Schizosaccharomyces pombe: one gene and its partners. The gene in region 1 interacts genetically with each later gene. Each region holds a gene or a part of one and is shown in the gene's direction. Other genes may lie near its edges. The genes, in order: cdc5, cwf11, dre4 and prp3.

Region 1 (5,798 bases):
CCTAGTATAAAGTCGAGCGAGAGGAAGACCAAACCCGAAGCCCTATGCATGTTTGTTAGTATTATATATTTCAACGATCAATAATAAAATGTTTCACTTACAGCCATAGGAGTAGTAGAATTTGCGCTAACGATATCGTGAGGATCATCTGTCAATGTAGGAGAGGCAGTTGTAAACATGTATGACCAAACTAAAGGGATATTTCGACGGGATATACCGCCTCCTTCATCAGAGATTTTGATGGTTATATCCTCTTGTCCTTTTGCAACAATGACCTTTATGGGAGGAAAGAAATCACTGTCTACACCATGAAATTCTACGGTTGCACGAAGACTGTTTTTGAGAATTTCAAAGACTGCGTGATTTAAATGGGACTCTACATACATCATTTCAAGTGAAGGATCGCAAATAATTTGAATCTCAGGTGCTTCAAACAATCCGTACGCAAGCCTGCAAATGTACTTGGCATTTTCAGCAGCACCTTCTATTATTTGATAAATATTTGCACGTGTACTTATCACACCAACGTAATTCTCACGCGGCGGTTCAGAGACAAGTGCTATATATTGACCTAACAGCATTCGAATTCCAATACGAGACATGTAAAACCTATCCAAAAATATTTGAATACTGTTGTCAATTTGGTTAGTCTTCCTTCGGTATTCTTGTATGTCCAAAGCAATTTCGACTGCAACGTTATCGTGTCTAGTTCGAATGGTATTTAAAAGGTATGCAAAATTACTATTAAATTTTAACAAAGATTCGGGCCAATTACAATCAACGCCATTATCTTGGTCAGAAAAATCTGTTTCAAAATAGCGACCTTTTGAAGAGTCTAAATGAGTATTTGCAAGCGAGGGATTATGAAGAATTTCAGAGTCCATTAAACTTGACCTCCATTTCGGGGCATTGTGATATCGAGCGTGCTTTGGAAGACATTTCGGTAGTTCCACTCCTTTCAGTTCAATAATTTCCTTCAACCAGTTAGCTTTGTTTGATTTCTGGTTATGTTTCGACAAGTATCGAACATGCAAATATACACATTTGACCTACCTCCATAGATCTACCGTAAGCAGCCTTTACGGAAGATATACGCTTCATACTTCGTAGCATCGGTGAAAGATTCTGCAGGTCTTGGATGCGCCGAGCCAAGCGAATGGGCAATTCATCTCGCAAAAACAAGCCAGCCCGGAAAAGTGTTCCTGGTGTAGGGTTCTTGCCTTCATAATAAAAATTAAGCAGTCAGTATAAAATTTCTAGTATGAAGTAATCTAAGAAAAATTAACTGAGCAAAAATTCTTACCAAAATACACTAATTGCTTTAAAGACAACCCTGTTTGAGGATATTGAGCCAAGAGATTGACTTTCTCCTGTAAAGTTTTCCCGAGCACTGACATTTCTTTTAAACCTTAAGTTTTTCTTTAAATTCGATAATGATAAATAGAACAATTGTTCAATCGTAAACTTTGTTGGTTTGTCTAACAAATAGATGATAACCCATGGACGAGCATAAAAAAAGCGGCAATTTGCAAAATATAACCTAAAGAAAGTAAAAGATGAGCTTCAGAAACAAACAAATAAAGCAGTTTCTTAATGTTTTCACACAGAATCTAAGAAAGCTTTTGCTAAACTAATGCATTCATATGTTTGCAAAGTACCCATAAAAATAATGAACTTGAGTGTATTCCATTAAAATTGAAATGCGTGATACATTATACTTCTTTTGCATTGCTTATTTTATTTTTCACAATACTGCTAGCTACACAGTTTGTTATCTAATTTAAGGATACGTAGAACTGCGGTGAGTTTTCCTTGTGGTCTATTATATTACAATACACAGGTCGTATGAGTAGCAACTGAGTATAGGTATTGTATTAACTAGGTTATAAAATGTTACCTATCACTAATATAGCTTATAACTGAACCTCGTTCCTCAGTTCAGTTAAAACTCTATTTATAATATTTCTAAATAGTTGCTATCAACGGGTATCTATGTATATAGACGGATAGTTACCCGTGATGATCAATAGACGGATCTTAATTAGTATTCCAACATATGACATATAGTGATATGTAACGTAGTGTAGTATTGCTGACAAATACGCGGTCATTAGGTTACTTAACGATACACATAATACTGCAATGCTTGTAGTTACTTGTTGATATACCAACCATAAATAAGAGGAAGAGTATGGTAGATCCACCTTCAAGATAAACATATTTGATCATTGCTATATCCTGCTTGTCAAATATTTTCTTAATACTCAACGGTTAGGAATATTCAAAAAAATTTAATGTTGTCCAACGATTTTGCGCTATTATATTTTTGCGATAAAGAAACATGTGCTACATTGAAATAATTTAAGGTAAATATGTGATACGTAGCAAACTGGAAAAAACAATAAAATGAATATTTGGTTTGACTATTAGTGTGTTTAAGAAACTGTTCTTTTAAAAGTTAAAACTACTTTAAATATAAAATATAATTTTGGTCACTTTCTGCTGCACTCGACATTTACCTCAATTTCCCATCCACCCTGTTTCGTCGCAAGTTGTTACAGTTACTACAAACCTCCATTACCACGCTTTCTGACAATTGTCAGGGTTTTGGCGAATATTTAGAAAATGGTTGTTTTAAAAGGAGGTTTGTAACTTTTTTTATTGTATTTTCTAACATAATTTAGGTGCCTGGAAAAATACAGAGGTAAAGACTATGATTTTAACCTTCTACCACGCGCAATGTTTTTGTTACTAACTTATTGGTAAACAGGATGAAATCTTAAAGGTATTTTTTTATTTATTAGTTACATATTTCCTTTAATATTTAGAATACTAACGCAAATTCCTAGGCTGCTGTCAGTAAATACGGTAAAAACCAATGGGCCCGCATAAGTTCATTGCTGGTTCGCAAAACTCCTAAACAATGTAAAGCTCGTTGGTATGAATGGATCGATCCAAGCATTAAAAAGGTATGTTAAACATGTAATCACTATTTGTTATTTGACAAGACCTATTGTTAACATTTCCTTCACATTTAGACTGAATGGAGTCGTGAAGAGGACGAAAAATTATTACACTTAGCTAAGTTACTTCCTACACAGTGGCGGACGATTGCTCCAATTGTAGGTCGGACGGCCACTCAATGTTTAGAACGCTATCAAAAACTTCTTGATGATTTGGAAGCGAAAGAGAACGAGCAGTTGGGATTGATCAGTGGAGAAGGTGCAGAAGCAGCTGCGCCTGTTAACGATCCAAATTCCCGGCTTCGTTTTGGCGAAGCAGAGCCCAATTTAGAAACCCTACCTGCACTCCCTGATGCCATTGACATGGATGAAGACGAAAAAGAGATGTTGAGTGAAGCACGTGCACGTTTAGCAAACACACAAGGAAAGAAAGCCAAACGAAAGGATAGAGAAAAGCAGCTTGAATTAACTAGAAGATTGTCACATCTCCAAAAGCGAAGAGAATTGAAGGCAGCTGGAATCAAGTATGTGTTATTATTATTACTTTATTGTATTGTTTTTCCTTCATTATGTTAATCTATAACTTAGTATAAAGCTCTTCCGTCGAAAGAAGAATGAAATGGATTATAACGCTTCTATTCCATTTGAAAAAAAGCCAGCGATTGGTTTTTATGATACCTCAGAAGAGGACAGGCAAAATTTTCGGGAAAAGCGAGAAGCGGACCAGAAGATAATTGAAAATGGAATACGGAATAATGAAATGGAATCCGAAGGTCGAAAATTTGGTCATTTTGAAAAGCCAAAACCTATTGATAGAGTAAAAAAGCCCAACAAAGATGCCCAAGAAGAAAAAATGCGACGTCTTGCCGAGGCTGAGCAGATGAGCAAGAGGCGGAAGTTGAATTTACCTAGTCCTACTGTGTCTCAAGATGAACTGGATAAAGTAGTGAAACTAGGCTTTGCAGGCGATCGTGCTCGCGCTATGACTGATACGACTCCAGATGCTAATTACAGTACTAATTTGTTAGGAAAGTATACACAAATTGAACGAGCTACTCCATTGAGAACACCAATTAGTGGTGAACTTGAGGGAAGAGAGGATTCAGTTACAATTGAAGTTAGAAATCAATTGATGAGGAACCGCGAACAATCTTCTCTCTTGGGTCAGGAAAGTATACCTTTACAACCTGGTGGTACTGGTTACACAGGAGTTACTCCCAGTCATGCAGCTAATGGCTCAGCTTTGGCAGCACCTCAAGCAACTCCTTTTAGAACACCACGTGACACATTTTCTATTAATGCAGCTGCGGAGCGAGCAGGACGATTAGCAAGTGAAAGAGAAAATAAAATTCGATTGAAGGCTTTGCGAGAATTGCTTGCAAAACTACCTAAACCTAAAAACGACTATGAACTAATGGAGCCTCGATTTGCGGACGAAACTGATGTTGAAGCTACTGTTGGAGTGCTTGAAGAAGACGCAACAGACCGAGAACGTCGTATCCAAGAACGTATTGCAGAAAAAGAAAGGTTGGCAAAAGCGAGGAGGTCACAGGTTATTCAAAGAGATTTGATTCGACCATCTGTAACACAACCAGAAAAATGGAAGCGTTCACTTGAAAATGAAGATCCGACTGCAAATGTTTTATTGAAAGAAATGATTGCTTTGATTTCATCGGACGCCATTAATTATCCGTTTGGAAATTCAAAAGTGAAAGGAACGGCTAACAAAGTGCCTGATTTGTCAAATGAAGAAATTGAGAGGTGTAGATTGTTACTAAAGAAAGAGATAGGGCAACTAGAAAGTGACGATTATATCCAATTCGAGAAGGAATTTTTGGAAACGTACAGTGCACTTCACAACACCTCAAGTTTGTTGCCAGGCTTGGTAATCTACGAGGAAGACGATGAAGACGTTGAAGCCGCTGAAAAGTTTTATACGAACGACATTCAACGAGATTTAGCTAAGAAAGCATTGGAATGTAACAAGTTGGAAAATCGGGTTTATGATTTGGTTAGATCTTCATATGAGCAACGTAATTTTTTGATAAAGAAAATCTCGCATGCTTGGAAGGCTTTGCAAACAGAAAGGAAAAATTTAACGTGCTACGAATTTCTATACAATCAGGAGCGATTAGCTCTACCTAATAGGCTTGAAGCAGCTGAAATAGAGCTAAGCAAAATGCAACAAATCGAGGCGTATGCTCAACAAGATTATGCTAGGGTTACTGGACAAAATTAAACTTCACTTCACTTTGTTTTAAATAATTGTCATAGCTTATCATTCATAGTGTATATTATCATGCCTGAAATAAAACGAAAGTTTTATAAAAAGATAATCCAAGCTAGAGAAAAGTAGAAAAGGAATAAAGGGTATACTGCCAACAATTTTTTGTTGGATAGATTAGAATTTTGTAAAACACCCATAGCAGCGAACAATGTCCAGGCATACATTGCAACAATCACAGGTATGCGTATAAATATTAAGGGAACGAATGCACAAACTATAGAAGCAATCATTAAAGGGAAAGAGGAGTACCCCAATATACACATAGATTGAAAAATGCTAATGTTGGCCCCTAGTAATTTTATATTTAAAGAACAAACCGCTTCCCCAAACCATATGAGCGCGACAACGACTGTAAAAACAGATTCTCGTTCAATCTTGTCAGTAGACAAGGCAAGTGCTAAAGCAATTACGAGGGAAAAAATCAAAGGACCCCACAAGTCCCAGTCGCGTAGTACTTGAGCATTTTTGGGATACAAAACATAGACGAGTTTTTCACCAATAGCTCTAAATTCATTAAATAATGTAACACGAATGGGTTCGTCCAGAGA
Region 2 (8,675 bases), on another chromosome or scaffold:
CGCATGATCACTAGTCTGCGATAAAATAGGATCACGAGCAAATAGTTGGGAGCAGGTTATGGAGGCGGTTTTGCGTACTTCCGGGTCATTGTTTTCAAGGTATACAACTACACAATCCTTCACAAATTCATTAAGAATATAACCGGAGAAGTCAAAATTTCCCAAAACTTTTAGAGCCAAAATATAGACGTCATTGGGAAAAAATCCTGTCTTCAGGGAAGCACTCTTTGAAGATTTTAAAGATCTTGCTACATATTGGGGAGGACATCCTGGAGGAATAAAAGGACGACCACTTAGAATTTTGCTGAGCATATCTAATAGTCGTTCCTGTATGACTGGTAATAATGGAGGTATATTATGGGCCAGATCTGAGAGAGCACGGTAAGAAGCCTCAGAAAGTCCGCTTGCAAATATTAAGTCAAAGAGGTCATACGCATAGTTTGAAAAGGCTTGTCCTAGTGCTATAGAAAGTAGGCTAATGCATTGAAAAATTGCAGCATCCGAAGCACTTTTATTACGGATATGGATTTTTAGACTTTCCTTGATTGAATCGCATATGGGGTCAAGATATGGGATTATGCTATTAGTAATAGCCACGGCAACTTTTCCAATAGTGGCAAACGCCAACATCTTAACATTTTCTTTTTTTAATAGATTAAGTAGATGGAGCATACAAACGTGTAAATAATTGGAAACAAATTCATCTGGATTATAAGCTGCGAGTGTAGCAATCAATTCTGTAACGGTTTTGCGAATAAGCAAATCTTTGTGATCTCTGAATTGCAATATAATGTCCGATACTTCTCGATACCTCTCATGCATAAACATTCCAGCTTTTAAAAATAATTGGCGATATACTAGTAAACTACCATGAATGTAATCAGAAGAACCCTGTGCAACACCACGTTGAGCTTCATTGAGAATACTTGTATACCATTGGAGACGGATGGATGAATCCCTTTGCCTAACGATTTTCAAGAACTCACTCAACGCATCAGCCGAAGCTATTCGAATAGTAACTTTTGGATCCCGAAGTCCATGCCATAAAAGCTCAAAAATTGAATCGATATGAGCATAGATTAATGTAGACGTATTTTTGGCAAGCTCCTTAAGTATAAGCACTGCTGCATATCTACGATTTTCATTACGTTCTCCTTGAAGCCATTCCAAAGCGCGTTTAACTTCGAAGTTCACAAATTCAGAAGTTAGAGCACCTCCAGGAACTGCAAGTCTCCCTAAAGCTTTTGCAGCAAGAACGGTGGCTTTTTGGTCAGTTCCTGGAAGAATAATACGCAAATAATTTGCAAATCTAGTAATCCTTGTAGTATCTTCTCCTTCATAATCAATTAGACGATTTATGGCAGTTACGCCTGCCAGACGATCGAGTGGATCGGTACTGTGAATTAAAGTATAAACGTACTTGTTAACATCATTGTTAAACTGAACTAAAGCTTCGCCCGATAATTCTCGAGAATAAGCTATAACATATTCATAAAGATCATTTGCCGCTTTATTGCGAATTTCTTCATTCCTGCTTTTCAACCCAGGAAATTCTTTCATTATATACAGCTTAAATTAGCATCATTCTCTCAATTAAACAAAATTATTAAATGTGGTTGGTGGTGACCAAACAAGCACCTGCTGTACTTTTGCACCTAATTCTTAGTATACGCAGAGAGGAGATCAATAGAAACACGATTGAAAAAGTAATATTTTTATGACGATTAATTATTTGTAATAGATATACAAGTTAATATTTAGTGTTCTCAAAAAATCCAAGTTTTATTAAAAAAAGTCTAAACTTAGGAACTTTGGTAAAATACCAAAAACGAGTGTTGATTATCTAAATTTTATTTTCGAAGTATTACTTTAAGTTTTTTACTTTACATTTTTCTCAAAGCTCATAGAGGAGAACAAATAAGAATCGCTGTTAAAGATTCTGACGCTAACCACCAAGTTCACAACACTTGTGATATTGCTAATATCCCTTTCTCTATTAAATGGTTCTGTATAAAAACAAAAAAAAACAAATCATTAATTATGCAAATTCGAATTGGGGTCAAAATGAAGGTGTAGAATTTCAAGAAACTATGCTACAATGCATCCTCGAAGCTGTCATTGTAAGTAAAGATGCTAAGCAAGTACTTAGTCTGTTACATGAGTTAAAGCTTTTTGAGAATTTCCTTTGGCAGAGGGTTAATACTGAGATGTCATTGAACCATATAAACTTAACTTGTATGCTTCTATTATACAAATCCAAATATGAATATATTACATGGGACCTCATTGATGAAAATCGGTTTCAATTATTTTTTGAAAAAGTAATTGAAGTCTCTTTATCCTTAAATTTATCAGAAGTGGTTTACATGATTCAATTCATTACTCTCTGTTTTCAGTTTTCGAATATAGAGAAATTAAGGAAACTTGTTTACCAGTTAACGAACATTTCTATTTTAAATTCGCTTGATAATCTTGATAAAGTAAAATATTTACTACATGACTCAAGCTCTCTGACGAAAGCCTTTGATTCTTATAAGGAAAAACGACCGTCTATCGTTGAAAAGTTCCCTTTACATAATTTACTTTCCCGCTGGATTCATTCTCTGCTTATTAAATCGATTAGCTACGCTCAAACTGAAAAACAAGAAGCGAAAGTAACCCCCCTTTTAGCAATTATCAATATGTCTTTGGTTTTACTATCCGCATTTCCCACACGTCGCTTTGCTCATCCCGTAATAGAAGACAGTTGTTTTTATACCGCATTAAGAATGTCTTTGTATTACGACAGTAATGAGCTTTTTAAAAAAATGACAGACGACTTAAACTATGTTTTGAAATTCCCTTTTGATAATACCAGAGGTAACGAATATGAGAAAGAACAAAAAATCAGAAATGATGAGCTTGTGTACTACCACTTACAGTTAACTTTATTTTCGGATTTTCAGAAGGAATTAGGGGATCTGGTATTTTGCACACAAACCTCTTTACAACAGCGACAAAAATTGGAGGAAATTACGTCTTTTCTTTCCTTCAATTCACTTAAGTCCTTGTGTAGTAAATGTTATTTGAGGACTTCATTTCCCGAAAAATATGCTATAAAAGTGGATTTCGAATTTTTAAAAAATGTTTTTATTAACACGTATGATAGGACTAGATTGGTAAATGATTATGATGAAATCATAAATTTTACTTTGAAAGATGTACTTGGTGAGCGATCCGTGATGGACCAAGAAAACTCTTTGACCAATTACTTCCTACTACAAAACACTGCTATACAATATCTTTCTATATCTTTTTTTATGAGACAACAGAGTAAAGCTTACAAAAAGTTATTGTTAAGGTCACTATATGCTGAACTTTTAAATTTCAGTGAACAATACAGGAGACTATCAATTAAAAATGCGACCAAGAATTTGACCAAAGATAATTTTTTCTCTTTAAATAACTTTAAAGTTACCTCCGTTGCTCCACCTCAAATCGGTCAAGTTTTACCTCAATTTGTAAAGTGTCAAATGGGTTTAAGTCGACCTGGACCTTTTCATTCAGCGTTACGTGATTTAAAGAATTCCATCAAGAGCCCTTTTCTTTGCTTAATATACATTTCTAAAGATATGGAGTACAAGTTATTACATGGTAATGCGCTTGACCCCTTAGAAGGGGTGACTGATTTTACAATCGCGACGATATGCAATGATGATGTTGGAATGTTTCAAAGCGATATGCAGTCAGATTCTGACAACAAGTCCATCAATGTATACCTAAGCCCATTTTATTATCATTCCCTTGCGGGGTTGGGGGAATATCGCCCTAAGCAATTGAAGTTCAACTTTGCTTTGGTACTGTCTCCTGAGGCAAATAAGTATTGGTTGGACTTAAATATTCTTGTATCTTTACTTAATCGCGCTAAAGAATTTCCTAAATGGTTCGAAGATTTATTTTTGGGTTTTGGAACGCCTGATATATGTGCTTTTCCTAATGCTGGGCTTAATTCTATTTATGCTAGAAACTTGTTCAATACAGTCGAACAGTTGCAATCAGTACTTCCTAATTGTCATGTACCTTCTAATTTATCAACTGAATCTTTACTAATCAAATTTTATACTAATCAGAACAAAATATCAGCTGATGTTACCGCATCTGATAGGCATTTTTTACTACCATCAAATCGATTATATACTTACAATGACAAACAGCTAGAATCGATTTTACGTGGATCTCAACCAGGATTAACTATGGTTAATGGTCCAACTCGTTGTGGAAAACATGTTTTGGTATGCAAACTTCTAGAGGTTTTACAAGACACATCTCCCAATGATAGAACCGTTGTACTTTCTGACTCCAATTTCTCTATGAATACTTTGTTTACCTTACTGGAAAAAGCTAGATGTTTTCACCAAGGGCACCTATTATATCTATCTGATGAAGGAAAAGACGAAACGTTGGAACGTTATGGTACTTTATCGTCTTGGATATCTAAGCTTCCTGGTCTTCTACGAGAAATCGGTCGCCTAGCTGCTTCAATCCAGGCTCCAGGTTCTCATGACGCCAGCCCAGATACGGCTTTGTATTTTAGGGATGCTTATATTAAGCGACTTTGGGAAAAGTACTTGAACACGGTAGATGATAAGGATTCTGTGGATGCCTATAACAGGTTCCCTTTCCATTCGTATTTCGGTGACAAATCTAAGCGTCCGATAGAAACGTATAATAAAGATAATTTTTTCGATTATGCGACAAAGTTATACGGGGAGTTAGAATATATGTTCCAACAGCTGGAAGAGATCCGGCCTTTTGGATTACTGAGATATTATGAAGATCAAGAATTGTATGCATTATGCCAACAATCTAGGATTATCGGATGCACTTGGACGAGCTTAAGTACACGCTTAGGGACTTTGAAAGAAAAGGGATTTTGCTTTAACAATTTAATTGTTATGAACTCACAAAATATAAGTGAAAGCTCTATCACTAGCATACTACTTTCAAACTGTGAACCAACTGGTTTTGATCGCCTTGTTCTTCTGGGTAATCAATATCTTACCTCTGGGAATCAGGATATAAATAATACGTCAAATGGTTCACTTTTCAAACGTTTGCGGTATTTGAAATCCAGAATTATTGACCTTAATACGCAATACAATGTTAGAGAATCTATCAGTTCTCTATGTTCATCAATTTATCCTTTGGACATCAAAACTGTGGATTCTAGTCCCAATAAAAGACTTGATTATGGTAATTCGGGGTTTGCACATGAGGTCCAATTTATTAATGTGGGAGCTTTTAAAGGTTCTCAAGAAACAGAACCCGTTAGCGGTTATAAGCAAAATCTTGGAGAAGCCGAGTACGCAGTTGCCTTATTCCAGTACATGCGAATGTTAGGTTATCCCACCAACGAAATTGTAATCTGTACGCTTTATGAGAGTCAAGTCAGCCTTTTAAATGAAATTATATCGGTACGCTGTTCTCATAACTCGTTTTTTGGTCAGCCTGCTTTTGTAGGTACCGTGGAAAAATTACCAAGCGATAAACGGGTAAACTTTGTTATATTTACGACAGTTGAATCTAAAGAGGCCTCTGATCATTGGAATCCAAAAACATTTTATAAAGCCTTTTCAGCATGCTCATATGGTCTGTACGTATTGTGCAACCGTGACCTTTTTCGCTCTACACGTGGTCTTGAAAAACTGTGGAATGAAATTGAAAAGACTCCTGACAAGCTGCTTTTAACCACGGGAGAAATATATCCAAGTTCTCACAAAATCGGATCTTCCGTTGAAACATTTGAAATTGAAAATTTACTTCATCTCTCAAACTATGTTGTTGAAATGACTAAAAAAAGGTTAAATACGAATTAAAATAAAAACCTACTTCATATAGACTATTTGCTTGTTGTATTGAATTAATGATTATTTGTAAGATTAAAGTCATTTTATTTCATTGCTTTTTTGCATAATTAACTTATTTAAAAAACTAAATAGTGAGCTTTACAAACAATAAAAAGTTGATCCCCTCAGAAAAAGTCTTAGGTGTCATACCGATAATAGCTCACTACTTTATTCAACTATACAACAAGTTGGGTAATACATTATTTGCACGAAGTTAACGTCCAATGATTGATTGGTCGAATGAGTAATAAATATAACAATTTATTAAAAGAAGTTGCAGCTAAATATGCTAGTATCATTCTAAATGATGCGAAAATTAAGTCTTTAACTTCAATAAATAGTGCCGAATATCTATATGATTCATTTGTTGAAATTAGTAAATTACCACTGGAAAAGAAGCTTCCGTTAAAATGGAAACTGATTACAGTAAAGGAAAATATTTGCACGAAGACAAATTTAACCACGGCAGCCTCTAATATGTTGAAGGGTAGACAATAAGAATATATTTCAGTTACTAATTGCGGTTTAACTAGACTACAATTCTCCGTTTGATGCGTCAATTGTCGAAAGCTTGAAGAAAGCCGGCGGTATTATTCTTGGTAAAACAAATATGGATGAGTTTGCAATGGGAGTCAAGAGCGAAAACAATCTTTTTGGTCGCACTGTTAATCCTGTTGTTAAGGATAGTAATTACGATGTTGGGGGCAGCTCGGGAGGAGCTGCTGCTGCAATCGCGGCGGATATATGTTATGCATCAGTTGGTTCAGACACAGGAGGATCAATCCGTCTACCTGCTGCTTACGTAGGTTGTGTAGGTTTTAAACCATCTTTCGGCAGGATTTCGAGATATGGAATGCTTGCCTTTGCCAATAGTTTTGACACAGTGGGTATCGCTGCAAATAATGTTAAGGGCGTTACCAAAGTATTTAATGTTTTAGACCATCCCGACATAAATGACTCAACCTGTTTAACTAAAGAAGCTCGTTATTTTGTTAAAGAGCAGCACAAAAAATTATCGCGGAAGCCAATTAAAATAGGAATTCCAATTGACTGGAATGTTTCTGAGACTCATCCAAACGTTTTAGATAAGTGGAATGAATTCATATCTCTTCTGAAATCAAATGGTTATCTTGTCCAAGAAATACAGCTTCCAATTTCATTATACGCTAACAGTGTATATTCCACAATGGCTTATGCAGAAGCGACTTCAAATTTGGCTAAATATAATACTATCGCATTTGGCAATTGTTTAGATGAAAAGTTCGAAGAGGAAATAATTTCATCTACTGCACGCTCTTTTTTTTTAGGAGACGAAGTGAAAAAGAGGCTACTGCTAGGCGCTTATTCACTAGCAAGAATGTATGATATAACTGATTTACTAAGTAGTTACTAATATTTACAAATAGGAATTCCTCTGATTTGTTTTCTAAGGCTCGATACGTTCGCCGAGCCATACAGCTGGAATTCAACAAAAACTTTTTTCTACCTTCCTTTTCTGTCGATGATCCCAGGGGTGACATCGATTTCATAGTTACCCCTTCTTTTTTTAATTCCAGTCAACCCATTGAAACCCCGTCCTCTTATAGTCATCTTTCAGATACTATGTTAGTTCCAGCGAATATGGCTGGAATACCATCCGTTAGCATACCTTTCGGTACTTTGAACAATGGGCTTCCAATGGGAATTCAAATTATGGCCCAATATCTTAATGACGAAGATTTGTTGTCTTTTGCAGGCCAGTTTGCATAGATTTCGGCTGCTTATCTAAACTCTCGAAACATGGCTATGATAATCTTTATGAGCATAATAATTCTTTACTGTTTGGAATCAATTTCATACATTGAAACTTGTTTGCAAAGAGTTTTGGAGAACTTGTCATCAATAATTCGACAGTTTCCCTACAACTGCGGTAAATCCAATAAATAGATGTGGATTCTGAATCATTTACACTTCTCAGCAACATAAATTATTTTTACATTTCAAGTCGCTAGTTTATTCAACCAAAAAAAATGCATATCTGAAGGATGGAATTTAACGGGTAAGCTTTTAAATACAAAACCAGGAGCAATCGGTTTGTCAGATAATGAACATAGTGCACTGTCAAGATATATATGATAAACAGCAACAATTGTATAATTTACCAGATAAATTAAATTTGATTTAATCGAAATAAATGTCTCAGTGCAACTGTAAATGAATTTTTTGACATTATAATAAGATAACGCACTTTGTGAAATTGCGTATTTATGCCTTAAATCCTAAACGAATGCTAACCAGATCTACACATTTAGCATTAGTACGCTTTAAACCAGTTGTTTTTAAAGGTTAGGATAATTTAAAACAGCTACCTTTCAAGACTCCAATTTTTGTTTTCAAAGCATGACTACCAAGCAATGGGGTATTACACCGCCAATTAGTACTGCACCTGCTACTGAACAGGAAAATGCTTTGAATACGGCTTTAATTAATGAGTTGAAGAACCAAAACTTGTTTGAATCTCCTGCCGAATCTGAAAAAAGAGTAAAGGTTCTTGATGAGTTGCAACAAATAACGACAGAATTTGTAAAGAAAGTATCACTTGCCAAACATATGAACGAAAAGATGGCTAATGAGGCAGGGGGGAAAATTTTTACGTACGGAAGTTATAGACTGGGCGTTTATGGACCTGGATCAGACATAGATACCCTAGTCGTTGTACCCAAGCATGTTTCTCGCGACAATTTCTTTCAGGACTTGGAACCTATGCTTCGAGAAAGAGAAGAGGTAACTGACCTTGCTGCTGTACCTGAC
Region 3 (5,908 bases), 2.3 Mb from region 1:
TAACGTTAACTGAGCAGATTTAAAGAATTTACTATATCCACTGTCTGAAAAGGAGAAGATTGAGGGGGATGAGCTGTACGATAATATTTTGAAGGAAACTTTTAATGAAGAATTACTCTCTCATTACCCACCAAATATTATTTATGCGACCTTTCAAAAATATTTGAGCTCCTTTATCAATCGAAAATTTGGAGTTTTGCTTTCTTCTTCATTCATACAACAGTTAAATACTGTTGAAAATTTAAGTATGTATCGCTATCAAATTTGATTTTTTTTAACTAACATTGAAGATCTATCTTTCAATTCAACTGATGCAGTTTATCATTTGAAAAAAATCTTACAAGACTTACCCGAGAGTAGCCTAAAGATCCTTGAGAACATTTTTTCTATTGCTTCCGAGTAAGTCACCAAGCTTGTTTTTCAGAGGTTTTATTATCTAACGTCGTAGTTTGCTTTTGAGACTTCCTCTTAAAGATCAATGTGATTTTGTTACGAAACAACTAGCAATTGCCTTGGCTCCTTCCATGTTTGGAAGTAATGCTGTAGAACTTGTTTATTACCTTGCATACCACAGTGATCGCATTTTTGGAACAGTAGAGGAATTGCCGACTCCGGTTTCCCCTGCGAATTCCAATAATGATAAACAGTTAGATGAATCGAAATTCCAAGCAATTGCCATGAAAGAAATGCCGGAAAGACACCCTAAGGAAATTTTACCTGGTCAAATAGAACGAGAGGCATACGAGGATTTACGACGCAAATATCATCTGACTCTTGCAAGGTTGGCTCAAATGACTCGATTAAATGAAGATTCTAAAAAGTCTATCCCTCTGTTGTATGATCGCTTCAACCATGATCTTAAGCTTATAAAGCAATCAGTTCAAGCCAGTTTAATTAGAAAACAATGTGAACTAGATACCGCAAAGTGGACTCTTGAAGAGTATGAATCCAAGCTAAACGCTAAGGAAGGTTGTCAAACCAACATATTTATATAGCCAACTAGTCTATACTACATCGATTATTAGATTATTTGTTTTACTATTCCTTTTTTAGATATCAATAGTTATTTTTTTTATCCTTCAATATGTAAGTGAAAGTTAATAATACTCATCAAAAAGTTTTCTCTTATTTTTATAAATAGTATAGAATTGGAATATGCTACACCGTTTAAAATCTTCAGTTATGAAAACTAAGCATATAGTTTAGAACATATGAGAGTCATTGACATTCCATTGGAAATACTATAATTTTAAATATGCCGGAATGGTGTACTCAAGTAGAAATTGACGTTATGAAGGGAATGAGAAAGAAAGGTCTAAGTATAAAAGAAACTTGAAAAAAGCCTTTTTTAAAACGGCATAAGAATTCATAAGATAATGATTTAGCGTAGATAAAAAGAAAGCAAGCCTATATTGAGACGGAATAAGGCTCATGATGGAACTTAGTTTGCTTCAAATTGTTTACAAAAACCATGAGCTAATTACAAGGAGATTAAAGGGTAACGACGAAAGCTATAAAAAACAGCTATACACTTAAAGTGTTTTCCCAATGAATTGAGTAAGGCAATATTAAGATTGCCGCTGGGTCTCTTGGTACTTATTGAGCACTTCATTTATTTCATCTGACTTCCATATTTTGCAAACCATTTTGTTTTTCGTGGTATCCTTTGTTATTGTTGCAAATTCAATTTTTTCATGAGTTAGGGAGTTACTGTCCAACGTTTTACTCAAAAATTTCACGGCCATAGCAGAAGCCTCATCTAAGTTTATATCATCCTTATACTCCTGTCGCATTAAGCTTTGAACACTAGTACTATTTCCTCCGATACTATTTGCTTGCCAGCTTCCGTAATTTCCAGATGGATTAGATTGGAATAGCTGATATCCACGAATATGATCCCATCCAGCATATAAGAATGAAACACCGAATGGACGTAGCCCACCATACTGTGTATAACCTTGTTTGAGGTCACAAACGCGACGAACTAATTGCTCACAAGGCATCTCTTCATTAAAAGTCTGCAAGTATTGTTGCCCAACCCTTCTAGCGTAGTTAATTAGGATGTTTGCATCTGCGGTAAGCCCTGCCACAGCACATAACATATTGTCTCCTATATGATATAACTTTTCTGCGGATTCTTCTTGTTCTAATAGTTTGCTGGTAACCTTCTTTTCAGCAGCTAAAACAATTCCATCTTTAGCTACAATCCCTAAAGCAACGCCAGCATGGTTGATCGCTTCCAATGCATATTCAACCTGGTATAAACGACCTTCAGGTGAAAAAATAGTCGTGCGAGAATCGTAGCTTCTTGACATAATGAATTTGGTTGATGACAAGTTCGAAAATGCGCGAAGCACTAGATCACGAACATTAATGAGGTCTACCGAAGTGCGATTACCACACTTGCTTTATTCTTTATGTGCTTACTACACTACTATAACAGGACTGACTTTTACCTGTCTTCTAATACAATTAATCTATTATGATTTAAATTAGTATGTTGTTAATCCGCTTATTTTTACAAGCTATGCTGTACAACAAATGTCTTTATAAATGAGAGCTATTTTTACGATAATCAATTTACCTTTAGTACTTTCATATCCTCAAGATATAAAGTTATCAGTGTAGGTTGCTAATAATTAAAATCTGCTTGTAAAAATATTTGAACCAGAGGAGTCAATACTAGTGTAAAAATGTAGCTGCTTACAAATACTTCCAGCCTGCCGTTTAACGATTTACCACGAGTTATGAATTGCTCGTAAATTTATGCGGGTTGTTGTAAATTGACAATATTAAAATTGAAGTTCTCGAAAATGTTTTATTATATTGTACTTGGTAGACCATTTCATTAACTTCTTATTTGTTCTAAAGGAAATACTTGGGAAGACGCTACGTGCGGTGCTGTTATGAGGTTTTTGTAGTATATTCAATAATGTTAACTACACCTATGAATTTATGCAATTTATACAGATTTTTTTTAATAGTTTGTAGAAATTTTTTTGTAATTGACATAACTATTCAGCTGGATTTTGCAAAACTGTTCTATCTATTCTCACACACACGCCCACTGAATACTACCTAACATAGTGTCGAACTTAACTTCTTGATTGTACATATCTTAATGTCACAGCCTTTGCCTCCTGGATGGACTGAACATAAAGGTAAATTTAATGAGCAGTTTATTTGCTAACTCATAGCACCCAGTGGGATTCCTTATTACTGGAATGCCGAGTTAAAAAAAAGCACTTACCAGCGCCCAAGTTTCATTGAGAAAAACCATTCATCTTCTGTTACTGCTTCGCAAGCTTCTTTGGCGTTTAACACAAGCGAAAAGCTGTTTGTTAATGAAAATGCTGAAGAGCGCAAAAATTCTCGAGATTTGAGGAAACAATTACCGGACAGACCAAAATTCAAGTATGTGAGGCGTAAAATTTTGTTATTAACTTTTTTTTTAGAAAAAGAATTCCTAATAATGATTCATGGGTGGTTGTTTTTACTAAGAAAAATCGGTATTTCTTTCACAATTTAAAAAGCCATGAATCATATTGGGAACCTCCTTTGGAAATTAGTAAAGACTTGAAGATATTACGTCTTCCGATACGGAAGCAAATCAGTAAAGATTCCTCACAGAGTCAGAACGTTGATAGTGGTAAAACCAACCACGAAGAAATACATGAATCTAGGCATTTACAAACAGAGATTGAAGAGCCCTCTGGTTTAGAAGAATCATCGGAGGAATCCGTTTTATATTCTGAAGAATTTTATGAAAAATCTGATGAAGAAGAGGATGAGGAAAAATCACACTCCGCTGAAGAGTTGGAGTTTGGTGAGGAAGATATTATGTATCAACTTCAACAATTGGATGATGAAACAGTTTCCTATGATATACAGGAACAAGCTACAAATTTATCTACTGATGATGCTAGAAGAGTATTTACTGAACTTTTGAAGGACAAAAACATCGGGGCATACCAACCGTGGGAACTAGTTTATCCAAAGTTATTAGACGATGATCGTTTTTACGTATTAGATTCGGGAGAGAGACGAAAAGAGGTGTTTGAGGAATATTGCAAGTCGGTGGTTTCTACCAAAAAAATTACGCGTAGAAAAAATACCTTATCGGATTTTTGGACTTTGCTTCATTCACTTCCATCTACCTTGCTATGGCCTCAATTTAAACGTAAATATAGAAAGTCGTCGACTCTTCAAATTCCAGGATATTCGGAACGTGATTTTGAGAAACTTTTCCGTGAGTTTCAGATTCTACGAAAACAGCCTATGCAGGACAAACTGTTAAATTTTAAAAAGCTATGCAAGTCAAAAACTGTAGATCCTAAAAACCCCGACGAATTCACAGAAAGCATACTTAATGACACACGATATGCCGTACTGACGCGTGAAGAACTGGATTCCTTGGCTTGTTCAAGTAATTAATGAATTTTTTATTAAATAGGTGCTTAGAGAATTTCTCATTTATTAATTTATTTGGAAAAAAATTATTTTTTTTCGCGTACTCTTTTAAGCAAGTAGTTTGTCGACGGGTGAGTTTCTTTGTTTACCATCTACTACAATTATGAAATTTCATCCGACGCGTCCTTTGGGTTATATTTCGAGTTTTTTATTATTATTTCTTTTTTCTTTACTAGTGAGTCTACCGGAGATGTAGAATCATTTATGAAATATTCGAATGTGGCCTTTTCCGAGGGGTTAGCCGGTTTTGATTCTTTAGCTCACGTATATCAAGCACTCTTGAAAAAATCCACTTGCTATCAGGAAGTTGCTGCAACTTTAATTTCCAAATGTAGCTTATTGAATACTGAGTTGACTATCGATAATCGAATTCACTCAGCCATTCAAATGACTCTTTGCGATTTTGAACGGTCTCAAATTTTGGCTCCTTCAGAATGCGTTCGTGGCTCGCAAAGTGAATGTGTATCGAAGTTGGAGTCAACTTCTACCTGGTGGCTTTCATTCACTAGTCACTTTCATGATGTAAATCACTTATGCCGGTTAGCAAATCTGGAAATGCAAAAAGGTAAACTTTAAATAAACTCTAACAAACTAACAATATAACAAGAATTATCAATCGAGGTGAATATGAATGTAACTCTTGTGCAAAAGCAATTTTTGGAAATGGTAATTTTGCATTTGCGAAACTTTGAGAGCGTGACAGATAAAATGAATCAACGTATTGATAAGTTTGATGGAAAATTTAATTCAGTTATCGAAAATTCTTTCAAAGATATCAACTTTCGTGTCAACCAAGAAATTATGGGCTTAGTCGAATTGCAAAACCATCAACAGGAAGGAATGGTACAACAAAAAGAAATACTAAGTACAATCAAACAACTAAAATCGGAAATATTTGATATAAACTCCTTTTTCGCTAATTTTATTGAAGAAAGTGCTGGTTATTCCAATAGTTTAATTGAAAAATTGAATGAAAAGTTTACCTCAGAAAATGCAATTGCTCTTTCCGCTATCGGCAAATATACCAGTGAGTTCTCTGCTTTTATGGAAAAAAGGATAAAAAATTTAATTACTACAACCGAGGATTCATTACAGCAATCAGTGCAATCCAACATCGATTTTGTTAACTCAGGTTTTCAACCGTTATACGATCTTACAATTCAATTGAAAGAGGAGCTTCAATCATTGAAACGTTTATCCTCTGAGCAACAGGTTAGTTTTACTTAATGGTTTTTATATTCATCGTTATTGCTTTGTCTAACAGTACTGTATAGAATTTGCAACACGAACAGATACTTCAATGGAAGTCAGACTTCTTAAATGTCAGTAAAGATCACCTTAAGGTACTTCAACAGTTAAGGCCTCTTATTGACATTGTTGAGAAGTTTATGAATGTATATTTTAAAGGATTGTCCAACATTATTAGCAGTTTTGCTTT
Region 4 (10,258 bases), 1.7 Mb from region 1:
TAGAAGACATTCAGATTACTAATTTAAATACTAAATGGTTATTCAGTTTAGGTTAAAAAAAAAGTGGATTATCCTTAAGATAATATTTGATGAAAACCCAAATTTCACGTGGAACTGACGACATTTTGCAAAGCGAGAATCTATTTAGCACGGTAAACATCAAATGAAATTGGTTGAATAACCTCTTCATTATAATAATTTATATAGCGATATTTGCGCCCCTGCTTGCCACTTTTTCTTTTGTGTATATTTTTTTAAATAGTAGTATAGCGCACAAGTTTCATCTGTAATACTATTAATATGCATACTGAGCAAGATATGTTCGCTGGTGGAGGAATCTTACAAAAGCCGTTATAATTTGGCCTAATTAAATAAATCACTGTTGTACTATTATAGTGAAAAATGACAAGCGTCTGCATGAATGCGAATTTATATCCTTTCAGTCTATAGTTGCCTTGTGATAGAATTAACTCATACAGTGTGTCACGTTTAAAGCAACTAAAAAGGCATAGTGGTAAGAAGGCGAAAACATACTAGTCAGGTATTCTTTTCTAGCTACTTTAAAAAAGCTTCCATTTCGTGGCTGTTGTCGAGTATGCAAATAACTGAAATGTCAATTGTTGGAACATGAATGACAATCATGCTGAATAATTGTAACCACACAATTCATTTTTGTACTATGCACATTGACCACTTCTTATTTTCCTCTTTGGTGTTTGTACAGTTAAATTTTGTTCGCCATACATCTCCTTAAATGGTATAGCGATAAGCACCGACAGCTAGAAATATGTCAACTATTATAATGTGATGTACGCAAATGTTAGTAGAATCTTACATTTACTGTTTTCCTTCTGCTTTTTCTATGGATGATGAATGTAGCTAAGAATCAGTTTTACGTTAATCTGTAATCACAAACCGCTCATACAAAAGAAGTAATCTCAACATTCCTGAATCCTCGCGAACCTTAACTTAAACGATATAGCGTATTGCATAAAACAATGGTTTAGGCTATTTTACTGTATAGTTTCGGATTGCGTTATTATGTAAATAACAAAGAAACTTGTTTGCATTGTTTTGAATGTTAAATACTTGGTCTTTTGCCATAATATATATACAATACGTATTAATACTTCGGTACATTCTACCAAAACCAAAGCGCTTATCGCAAATATTATTTTTTTTCACTTGTAGAAGGAAACTCATATCGGAAGGTTGTGAATTGAATTGATAGTTTATTATAAAGGCCTGCTGACTTGAACAAAGGTCTACGCCCATTTCAGTTTGATACAGATATGCCCCGTGTCGTATGACTACCATATGTAATAGCTTGGGATCTTGAAAACTTTAGGAATGAACCAGGACGACAATGGCAAAAATGTGGTTAGCAAGGTGTCAGATTTGACATCTTGCAGTGATTTCAGTACCTCAAGTCCGGTTCCTTGCCTAAATCCGCTGTCTCATGAAAATAATAGAATTGGTATGTTTTTTTTGAAGCTCACGGCTTTACTTCTTTTTTAATTTGTACTCTTTTCATTTTACTAATATAAAGAAGACTTAATTCGTGATCTGTTGGCTTCCTTATCCAAAGAAGGGGTAGTTGCTGTTTACAATCACGTTCGTTCTCTGTTATTTACAGATTTCACAGAAGTATGAAGTTTTCAATTCCCTGTATAATATAACTAATATCCGTTAATGTAGGTATTTCCTGAAGAGGTTAGTTTGAGGGTGTTTAGTTACTTAGATCAGCTTGATCTATGTAAGTGCAAGCTTATGTCAAAGCGCTGGAAGCGTCTATTGGAAGATCCTGGAATTTGGAAGGCTTTATATATGCAAAAGGGTTGGTTTGTAAATGAAAATGTGCTAAATGAATTTGAAGCTTGGAGAAGGACACACAAGTTTCCTCAACCAAGATTCGAAAATTTTCTAAAGCAGCAAAATATCATAGGACCCTATGGTACAATGTTTCTACCGCAACAGTTTATCTTCGACTCCAACGGCCGGCCCTTGTTAAACTGGTCCTATCTATACAAAGAACACGCCCATTTGGATAGTAATTGGAGACATGGTAGATTTCTAGTATCTACATTCAATAACCCCTCTATACGCTTCCCTGCAGACCAGGATTTTCGTGCTACATTGGATAGTGTTTATTGTGTTCAATATGATGACGAAATCATGGTCAGCGGGTCTAAAGATCGAACAGTAAGTGTGTGGGATGTAAATTCTCGATTTATTCTTTATAAATTATACGGCCATTCTGGAAGCGTCCTGTGTTTGGACTTTTGTAGACGAAGAAATCTTCTTGTTTCTGGTTCTTCTGATTCAACAATTATTATATGGGATTGGCAAAACCGACGCCCATTAAAAGTTTATTTCGGACATACAGATAATGTGCTAGGTGTCGTTGTATCCGAAAATTACATTATATCTTCTTCAAGGGACCACACAGCTCGAGTATGGAGGTTAGATGCCACCTCCCCTGCTGAAGCTTGTATGCATGTTTTGCGTGGTCATCTTGCTTCTGTAAATTCTGTACAATATTCTTCGAAAACTGGATTAATTGTCACAGCAAGCAGCGATCGCACTCTACGCACTTGGGACATAACTACTGGCCATTGCATTCGCATTATTCATGCTCATCAACGTGGAATAGCATGTGCTCAATATAATGGTAAATTTATTGTTTCAGGCTCTTCGGACCTTACAATTAGGATATTTGAAGCAAGTTCCGGTAAACTGCTTCGTATGCTTCAAGGTCACGAAGATTTGATCCGCACTGTGCGATTTAATGATGAAAAAATTGTTTCAGGCGGTTACGATGGCACTGTTCGAATTTGGAATTTCAACACTGGCGAGCAACACTGTGTATTGCATAATAGTAGAAATTCTCGTGTGTTCGGTCTGCAGTTTGACCACAGACGTATTATTGCATGTACTCATAGTAGCGAGATATTGGTTTGGAATTTTGACGATGGATTGGATTGTACATTTTTTTAGCTACTCTCTTACTTATTATTCAATGGCGAAAAGAATACCAATTTGCTAGTTTTAACCTTCCCATCCTTTGCTCAGACCTGGGCAGTTCCTCTCAATATCGTAGTATATTAATTTTTTTTAATGAAATAGACTCCATTGTTAACATGTCTGCTTAGTTTTTGAATACAAGTATCGCAACAAACTATACTTAGGCGGTATGTGCCACCACACTCCTTGAATGGACCAACTAGGTTAAAGATTGAAGGACACAAAAAACTGTCAAGTTTTTTTACTATATGCATTTTTTTGAATTTAAGCGTTAATGTAAAGTTCACAGTTTATATTTAGACCACGAATCTGAGTTTTTCAAAGTTTACACGCACAGTCGTTGTACAAATTCGTATTCCCAGCTTTGCAAATTAAACTACTGCTTTCAATTAACTGATGGATCGTAACAAGAGGCGTTTAGAATCGTCTCAATTGAGGGAAAGTTCTTCGCCGAATTCTCAAAATAAGCCTAACGCTGTATGTTTCAAAAATATAAAACTAATGGACGAATATCTAATTCAATATAGATGGAAGAAATTAAAAGAAGACGTTTACAATTAGAGCAGCGTCTTGCACAACAAGCTCAAGTGCCTTGGGAAAAACGCTCTGAAAATGGGAATAATGCTGGAATGGAAACGATACAAAATCGTATATCAGAGCTTAAGGAAAAGACAGCCAAGAGATTTGTAAGTTTTTTTATTTTTGTTATTTGCAGTTGCTAATCGTTTGTAGAATGCCAATATACCCAAATCTGAAGGCTTGTTCAGAGATGATAGTAATGGTGCCAAAGGGGGATTAAAAGTTGGAATCCATCCAGTGCTTTTAGATGGTAACATTCAAAACACAATTTTAACACCTGAAAATCGTAAACGAACTGCTTCTTTTTCGACAAAGGGTGTTTCTTTATCGCAGCACCAACTATTGAAACCACCTGCTATTACAGAACAAAATCCTTTTCTTGATACAGCCCCTACTCCTAGATTAGAGGATTCACCATTTTATGATCCTCGAACGAAGGAATCACGGAAAACTAGGGGTTCAAGGAATTTGCATTTAAACGAATCTGGCAAGTTTATAGAAGAAGCTAATCAAGCTCGTCGACAGGCCAGATTGGAGGATCTCAAAAAAAGAATAGCTTTACACTCGCATAAGGCAGGGATTGAAGATGAACTTGACATTACGAGCAAGTCTATTGGAAGAGATACAATTCCCAACATTGAATGGTGGGACTTACCCTTTATAAAGGATTATAATGACTATGGTGATGAAAATAACTGGCTAATTGATGGTCCACAATCAATTATCAACTCAGCTATTCAACATCCTATACCTGTTCTCCCTCCTTATGCAAAAAACCAACCGTCATCTCATTCCGTCTTCTTAACTAAAAAGGTAAATTATTTGAAAGTTGATTAATTGCTGATTATTTTTTAGGAGCAAAAGAAAATAAGAAGACAGACTCGGGCTGAAGCTCGAAAGGAAAAACAAGACCGTCAGTTACTTGGAATTGAACCTCCAGAGCCACCGAAAGTCAAGCTTTCTAATTTAATGCACGTTTTAGGAGATGATGCTATAAAAGACCCTACTAAAATAGAAGCAGAAGTTCGAAAGCAGGTTGAAGAAAGACGTCTTCGACATGAGCGAGAGAATGAGGAACGGAAATTAACTCCGGAGGAGCGAAAAGAGAAGGCATTCCGTAAGAAAGATGAGGATTCAGCTGCCGGTCTACGTTGTTTGGTATTTCGGTATGTATCTACAACTATTGCATCTCTGTTTATGTTTTGTGTAAATATGTATTTTGGCTAATTTACTGTACTAACTTATTTAGTATTAAATACCTTGCTCATAGGCCTCATCGTTTGAAAATTGACCTTAATGCGAAACAATGGGGAGCTACCGGTGTGTGTATCTTGAATGCGAATTTTAATTTAGTAATTTTTGAAGCTGGACAAAAAGCTATCAAAAAATTAAAAAGACTAATGCTTGAAAGAATCGACTGGACTGATACTTCAAGAAATTCCATTATAGCACAAGGAAATAAATTAGTGGATACTGAAGGACGGGAATTAAATTATACAGAAAACACATGCAATTTAGTATGGGAAGGAGAAATTGGTAGGCGAGCTTTTCGTTACTGGTCGTTTAGAAGTTGTCCATCTGAAAACGACGCAAAGAGTTACTTAGAAGAACAAGGAGGAGCTGAGCATTTTTGGATGTTAGCAAAATCCTGGTCTGAAAATGTTTAAAAATCTGATAAAAAATTTTTATTATATATATTTTTGAATGATATTTTAATTAATTACTCCTCTTCGCTTTGTTCATCCTCGGAAACAGCTTGACCGCATTGTCTAAGCAATTCCTTGTCTTTAGTTCTCTTCGACTCTAATTCTTCAACTATCAGCAACCAATATTCATCAGCTTCCTTGAGTTTTTTCTCTAACTCTTTATTTTTACTCTCTAAATCTGAAATTGTTCGGTTGTCACTGTCCTTCAATGATTGCATGTTTAACGACGCGTTTTGCAAGCCAATAATGTCAACCTTTAACCTCTCAATCTCTTCGTCACGCGCATTTAACTTCTCATTGGCTTCGGCTAATGCTTGAGAAACTTCTTTAAACTTCTCGTTATTAACGCTTTTTTCTTTATTCTGGTCATCATTTGATACGCTCTTAAGAGAATCGTTTTCACTTTTAACCGTTTTTAGTTCTTTGCTTAAAGTTGAAGCTGTTTTCGTCGCTGCCTCCAAATCTTTTTCCAGTGAAGAAATTTTTTCAGTATGTTCTTTGGCAAGTTTGTTACCAAAATTAATTTTCTCCTGTAAATTGCTGCACTTCTGCTTTGCTAATTTTAACTCATTAGCTTGATTTTTATTGATAGATTCCATTGAACTCAATTCATCAGCAGCAGCAGATATTCTCTCGTTCAAGGTTTCAATTTGGTTTTTGTCTTGATTCAACTGCGATTGCAGCTCTTGCAAACGTGTAGATTCCTCGCTAAGTTTATTCTTCAAATCCGAAATTATGTTTTCTTTGTTACCAAGATTATCATTCAGTGCTTTCTTGGACAATTCAGCTTCACGAATTGTATTTTTGAAGGACTCTGTATCGGCATTCTTCTTATTGAGCTTTTCAGTAAGCAAATTAAGGTCATTTTCTAGCTTTTTGTTTTTGGATTCTAATGCAGCCAGAGAATTATTCAGTGACTTCGACTTTTCTAACTCAGATAACAAATCCCTATTTTTGGAGCTGATTATTCCAAACTGGTTTTTTATATCATCCAACTGTTTGGTAAGTTTTGAATGTTCCTCGATGAAATCTTTGATTTCGGATTCGTGACCTTCTCTCAAAACTTGCATTTCCTCCTCCATTTGTTTACAATTCGACTTCGTATAATCTAGTTCAATTCTCAAATCATATAATTTTTGCTGATTATCTAATAACTCTTCATGGTATTTTTCTGCCAGTTGTGTTTGTTCTTCTAGATTTGTTTTGCTAGTCTTGAGACTTTCATTCAACTTCTCTTCTTGAATAGATCTTTCTTTGACAGAAAGGTCTAATGCTTCTTTAGTGTTATCAATCTCTTCCCTCAAACTTTTCAATTGCTTTTGTGCTTCGTCAAACGCATCCAATGTATTGATTTCACCAATTTTAGTATTGAATGCGTCAGCGGCGTCGTCTATAGCGTGCTTAAGGCGGTAAAAATTATCCTTAAAGAAATTCACAAATGTAGTGTCAAAGAGGATGTCATTGCAATTACCATCTTCTGCTTCATTGACAGGAACGTGATCTCGTATAAGTTCATCCTGCGAAGCCGTTGTAGCCTATTAATGAACACGTCGCGCTTGACAGCAGAAGTGATTGCATTGTAGACATCAGATTTAGATACCGGAGACTCTATTGGACAATAATAGTAAACCAATGATAAGAATACAGCTATCATGCCTTGAATAACGGAATTTGCTGAAGACGATTCATCCATTAGCGCCGTCAAAAATGTTTGCAAAATGCTACTTTCCGACAAAAAGTCTTTGACACTATCAGGATTACCATAAACCAGAGCGATTAATAGTGTTAGATAACCAACACAATTTTGAAGCGCGTTCTCATGTCTTAAAGTAGCTATTAACTTGGTAGATACGCATTGAATAAAGGTGACTTTGTCTTCACTTTCGGAATCCTCGTCATTGTCCATATCTTGGAACAAAGGAATCGAGCACAAAAGATATTTTCTCTGGTCATTATCAATAACAAGGTAGGTAAGGATTGTGCTAGTGAACCAATTATCATACTGATCTTGATCGGACAAATGTACTAAATCCAAATATCCTTGAATTATATTGAGCCGATTATCTTGTTTATGGGTGTATGCATGAATAATTTGCTTTAAAAACTTCGATGAAAGCTCATCATTTTCGGAGGTTAATGACCTTAGGAAAAAAGCCACGGAATAGCGATGTGAAGGTGAAATAGAAGAAAGAAAGAGATAATCAAACAAACACGTCAAAACATCGGTATTTTTTATATCAAAAAAAGTAGAGTCGACAAAACTATTTTGAGCTCGAGCATTAGAATATACGACGTGCGCTAAAGTTATCCAGCTAATTTTTTGAACGTCAAAGAATAATAAATCAGGGTGAGTAGCAAGTGTGAGTAAAACATCAATGCCGTGATTGGAGACAACAGCATTTTGATTAGCAATACTAGAAGATAAGCCAATTGGTACTAATGATTGAAGAGCATATAAGGCTTCTATAACACACTGTACACGAGAAGTGTCCCAAGTTCCATCAACAAAAGTGTCAACGGACAAAAGCTTAAGTAAAGAAGGAATGTGGTTGGACTCACGGAAATAATTTTGGTTAGAAATGTTATCTTTAAGTAGAACGTTCAGAAATTTCAAGGCTTCTAGTGCTATTATACCACCATCGACACCACCTTCATTTTCTAGCAATGAAAATAATGTCTCAAAAGCGTTTTCAAATACCACCAACTTCTGGATGCTTGTGCAGTCCTTCACCAATTCTGACAAAAAATAAAGATCTGCATTTCGAACTGGCTCAATGGAGTCTCGAAGTGGAACCATTATACTGGAGATAGCAGAAGGAAATGTTTGAAGACAATCTTTCAATTCAGTGGGCCGGCATGATAAAATAGCAGAGAACAATTCAACAGAATATAGACGAACATAGAAATCTTTGTGGGATATGCTTTGCAAAAGACATTGAATATTGTCTTGGTTCAGGATAAACTGATCTGCTATCCACAACCCAGTATCTGAAGCTCTTGAGTCGTCATCGTGTCGCGTCAAAATTAAGCATGTTTCTAAAGTAACTTTTAAAAGTTCAGGATCATCATAGTCTCTGTGTAAAGATTGAATTATGCCTTTTAAGCCATGAGCAGCCACGAGCTAAATTTGTTAGTCCCAATCGAACAAAATTAAATAAAAAAGCAACCTCAAACTAGTATTTAAAAAAATCATACCTCCTTAAACTCTCTCGCAAAGCTCTTAATTCCGAGAGCAGCAGCTTTTCGATCTTCAAAAAGCGTAGCATGTTCCAACCGATCACAGAGCTTCGATATCGTTTCATCCGCCTGCTGAACTTTGGGAGGTGATAGAATCACATTGTAACTTTTATGAAAAATATCCATCAAGTGAGCGAATGCACGCAAAGGCAAACAGCAGGATTTCAGCTGTCAGAAGTTCCCCAATATAAAAGTAGTTAGCCCTCGCTTATAAGAAATTATTAGAAACTGCAATGCATTACGCTATGTTCAATGTAAACAAAGCATTTCTCCCGGACCACACGACAAACGTGAATTTACTTAAAAATCTGAGAACAACTAGGAAAAGCTAATTCTGAACCAATTTTATATATATTTTCGGACCCATGCCATTTAGGAGTGAATTAAAGACAATTGAATTACAGTAATACGTTCATAATTTCTTTTATTTAAGATAGATTTACACAAAAAATCTAAATAGTAACGTTGCTGTTATTCAAACGTATTTTCATTGCTTCGCAAGTTCATCTTTGTCGCTAATTCAGGCTTAAATTACTATAAATTATTTGGGATTACTTTATATGACTAGTCGAAAGGAGCAGCTGGATGCCTTTTTATCGAGAACTTTGTCAGAAACTATAGCTCACATTCCTTTGGAAAAGTTCGCACAATGTTTTCCTTCCATGAAAAAGGGGAAAGTTATAGCAGTCATCCATCAGCAGCTGATTGAGTTCTTTGAGAAATCGTGTAAACAAGAGTACGCAAACCTGATTAAAGAAAGAGATTTAAACAAAAAATTGGATATGCTAGATGAATGCATTCATGATGCTGAATTTCGCAAATTGCATGGAGAGTCAGAGGTTGACATTAGTAATAAACAGCCTCAAGAAATTCTAAAAGCACATTTGTATTCTCATAAAAGAGAACTTCTTGATAAGCTTAATCAGGATCTGTTGGATATTGACAAAGAAAATGAAGGGTTATCGACACAGATCGCGGCGGGAAGAAAAAGCAACTGAAGATTGTATATCCAGAATGCAATCGTTAATTCAAAAATTGGAGAAAACAGTTTATGGAATGAATGAAAAAAATTTAGCTAAAGAAGCACATGATACACTTAATGATCTACTTCCATACATCCAAAACCCTTCTTCTACATGGACTAATGCACTCAACGAACAAGGAAATATAGAACGTTGAAAGAAGTAAATTTCTAATCAGTTGCATAATTATATGCGAACAAAACTATATGATTTTTGGAACTCACAACAATAATAGTACTAATTAAGTAGCATTTTGACATCGTACTTAGCTTCAGACCAGTCTTGGTCTGTACCACATAACTAAGTTTGCAATCCCAACTTAAGAAAAACAAAATGGAAAAAGAAACACGCAATCTATGTTTCGTCACTTTTACTCAAAAACATTCCAACGCAAAAAATCTAATCGAATGAGTTAGTAACACTTTCTGGTTTACTTGGCATTTAATATTCATACGTGAGCTGCACCTGTACCCATCAGGATTTTTTTCAAGGTAAAGCTGATGATAATCTTCGGCATCCCACCATTTACCAGCTGGAAGAATTTGGGTTACAATTTTCTTATTAGGATAATGCTTTGCCTGCACCTCGTTCATGACTCTTTTAGCAATGGTTGCCTGTTCAGGATTTGTAGTAAAGATTGCGGAACGATACTGAGTACCAATGTCATTACCCTGCTGATTAGACGTAGTG

Evidence for each region.
Region 2: mutations in cdc5 (region 1) and cwf11 impair growth when combined (synthetic growth defect), as found in Schizosaccharomyces pombe (one study listed by BioGRID).
Region 3: mutations in cdc5 (region 1) and dre4 are lethal when combined (synthetic lethality), as found in Schizosaccharomyces pombe (one study listed by BioGRID).
Region 4: mutations in cdc5 (region 1) and prp3 impair growth when combined (synthetic growth defect), as found in Schizosaccharomyces pombe (one study listed by BioGRID).

What each region holds. Positions count from the first base shown.
Region 1 is NC_003424.3:2,692,133-2,697,930, forward strand, and holds cdc5 (splicing factor Cdc5), read left to right. Parts: upstream 1-2,566; 5' UTR 2,567-2,625; coding exon 2,626-2,644; exon of another isoform or gene 2,645-2,684; coding exon 2,685-2,704; exon of another isoform or gene 2,705-2,761; intron 2,762-2,770; coding exon 2,771-2,785; exon of another isoform or gene 2,786-2,849; coding exon 2,850-2,969; exon of another isoform or gene 2,970-3,038; coding exon 3,039-3,487; exon of another isoform or gene 3,488-3,551; coding exon 3,552-5,202; 3' UTR 5,203-5,285; downstream 5,286-5,798. Other genes in the region: [pyruvate dehydrogenase (acetyl-transferring)] kinase Pkp1, read right to left, coding at 1-42, 102-974, 1,054-1,220, 1,304-1,397; SPOM_SPAC644.13C (Rab GTPase-binding protein), read right to left, coding at 5,286-5,798. UniProt on the Schizosaccharomyces pombe protein: Involved in mRNA splicing and cell cycle control.
Region 2 is NC_003423.3:920,725-929,399, forward strand, and holds cwf11 (protein Cwf11), read left to right. Parts: upstream 1-1,947; 5' UTR 1,948-2,000; coding exon 2,001-5,855; 3' UTR 5,856-5,917; downstream 5,918-8,675. Other genes in the region: TORC1 serine/threonine protein kinase Tor2, read right to left, coding at 1-1,560; gta1 (glutamyl-tRNA amidotransferase alpha subunit), read left to right, coding at 6,126-6,372, 6,419-7,244, 7,292-7,634; mRNA cleavage and polyadenylation specificity factor poly(A) polymerase Pla1, read left to right, coding at 8,265-8,675. UniProt on the Schizosaccharomyces pombe protein: Involved in mRNA splicing where it associates with cdc5 and the other cwf proteins as part of the spliceosome.
Region 3 is NC_003424.3:422,909-428,816, forward strand, and holds dre4 (splicing-associated factor Dre4), read left to right. Parts: upstream 1-3,069; 5' UTR 3,070-3,121; coding exon 3,122-3,161; exon of another isoform or gene 3,162-3,197; coding exon 3,198-3,414; exon of another isoform or gene 3,415-3,455; coding exon 3,456-4,434; 3' UTR 4,435-4,507; downstream 4,508-5,908. Other genes in the region: RhoGEF Gef2, read left to right, coding at 18-245, 291-399, 449-995; pre9 (proteasome core particle subunit alpha 3), read right to left, coding at 1,569-2,315; nuclear membrane protein Tht1, read left to right, coding at 4,675-5,035, 5,078-5,682, 5,745-5,908. UniProt on the Schizosaccharomyces pombe protein: Component of the spliceosome involved in mRNA processing.
Region 4 is NC_003424.3:4,400,667-4,410,924, forward strand, and holds prp3 (U4/U5/U6 small nuclear ribonucleoprotein complex subunit Prp3), read left to right. Parts: upstream 1-3,212; 5' UTR 3,213-3,420; coding exon 3,421-3,501; exon of another isoform or gene 3,502-3,551; coding exon 3,552-3,710; exon of another isoform or gene 3,711-3,756; coding exon 3,757-4,416; intron 4,417-4,458; coding exon 4,459-4,769; intron 4,770-4,852; coding exon 4,853-5,270; 3' UTR 5,271-5,323; coding exon of another isoform or gene 5,324-8,430; 3' UTR 8,431-8,504; coding exon of another isoform or gene 8,505-8,672; 3' UTR 8,673-8,930; downstream 8,931-10,258. Other genes in the region: F-box/WD repeat protein Pof11, read left to right, coding at 1,351-1,477, 1,553-1,647, 1,699-2,997; mxr1 (peptide methionine sulfoxide reductase), read right to left, coding at 9,939-9,967, 10,023-10,258. UniProt on the Schizosaccharomyces pombe protein: Participates in pre-mRNA splicing and in nuclear mRNA export. May play a role in the assembly of the U4/U5/U6 tri-snRNP complex.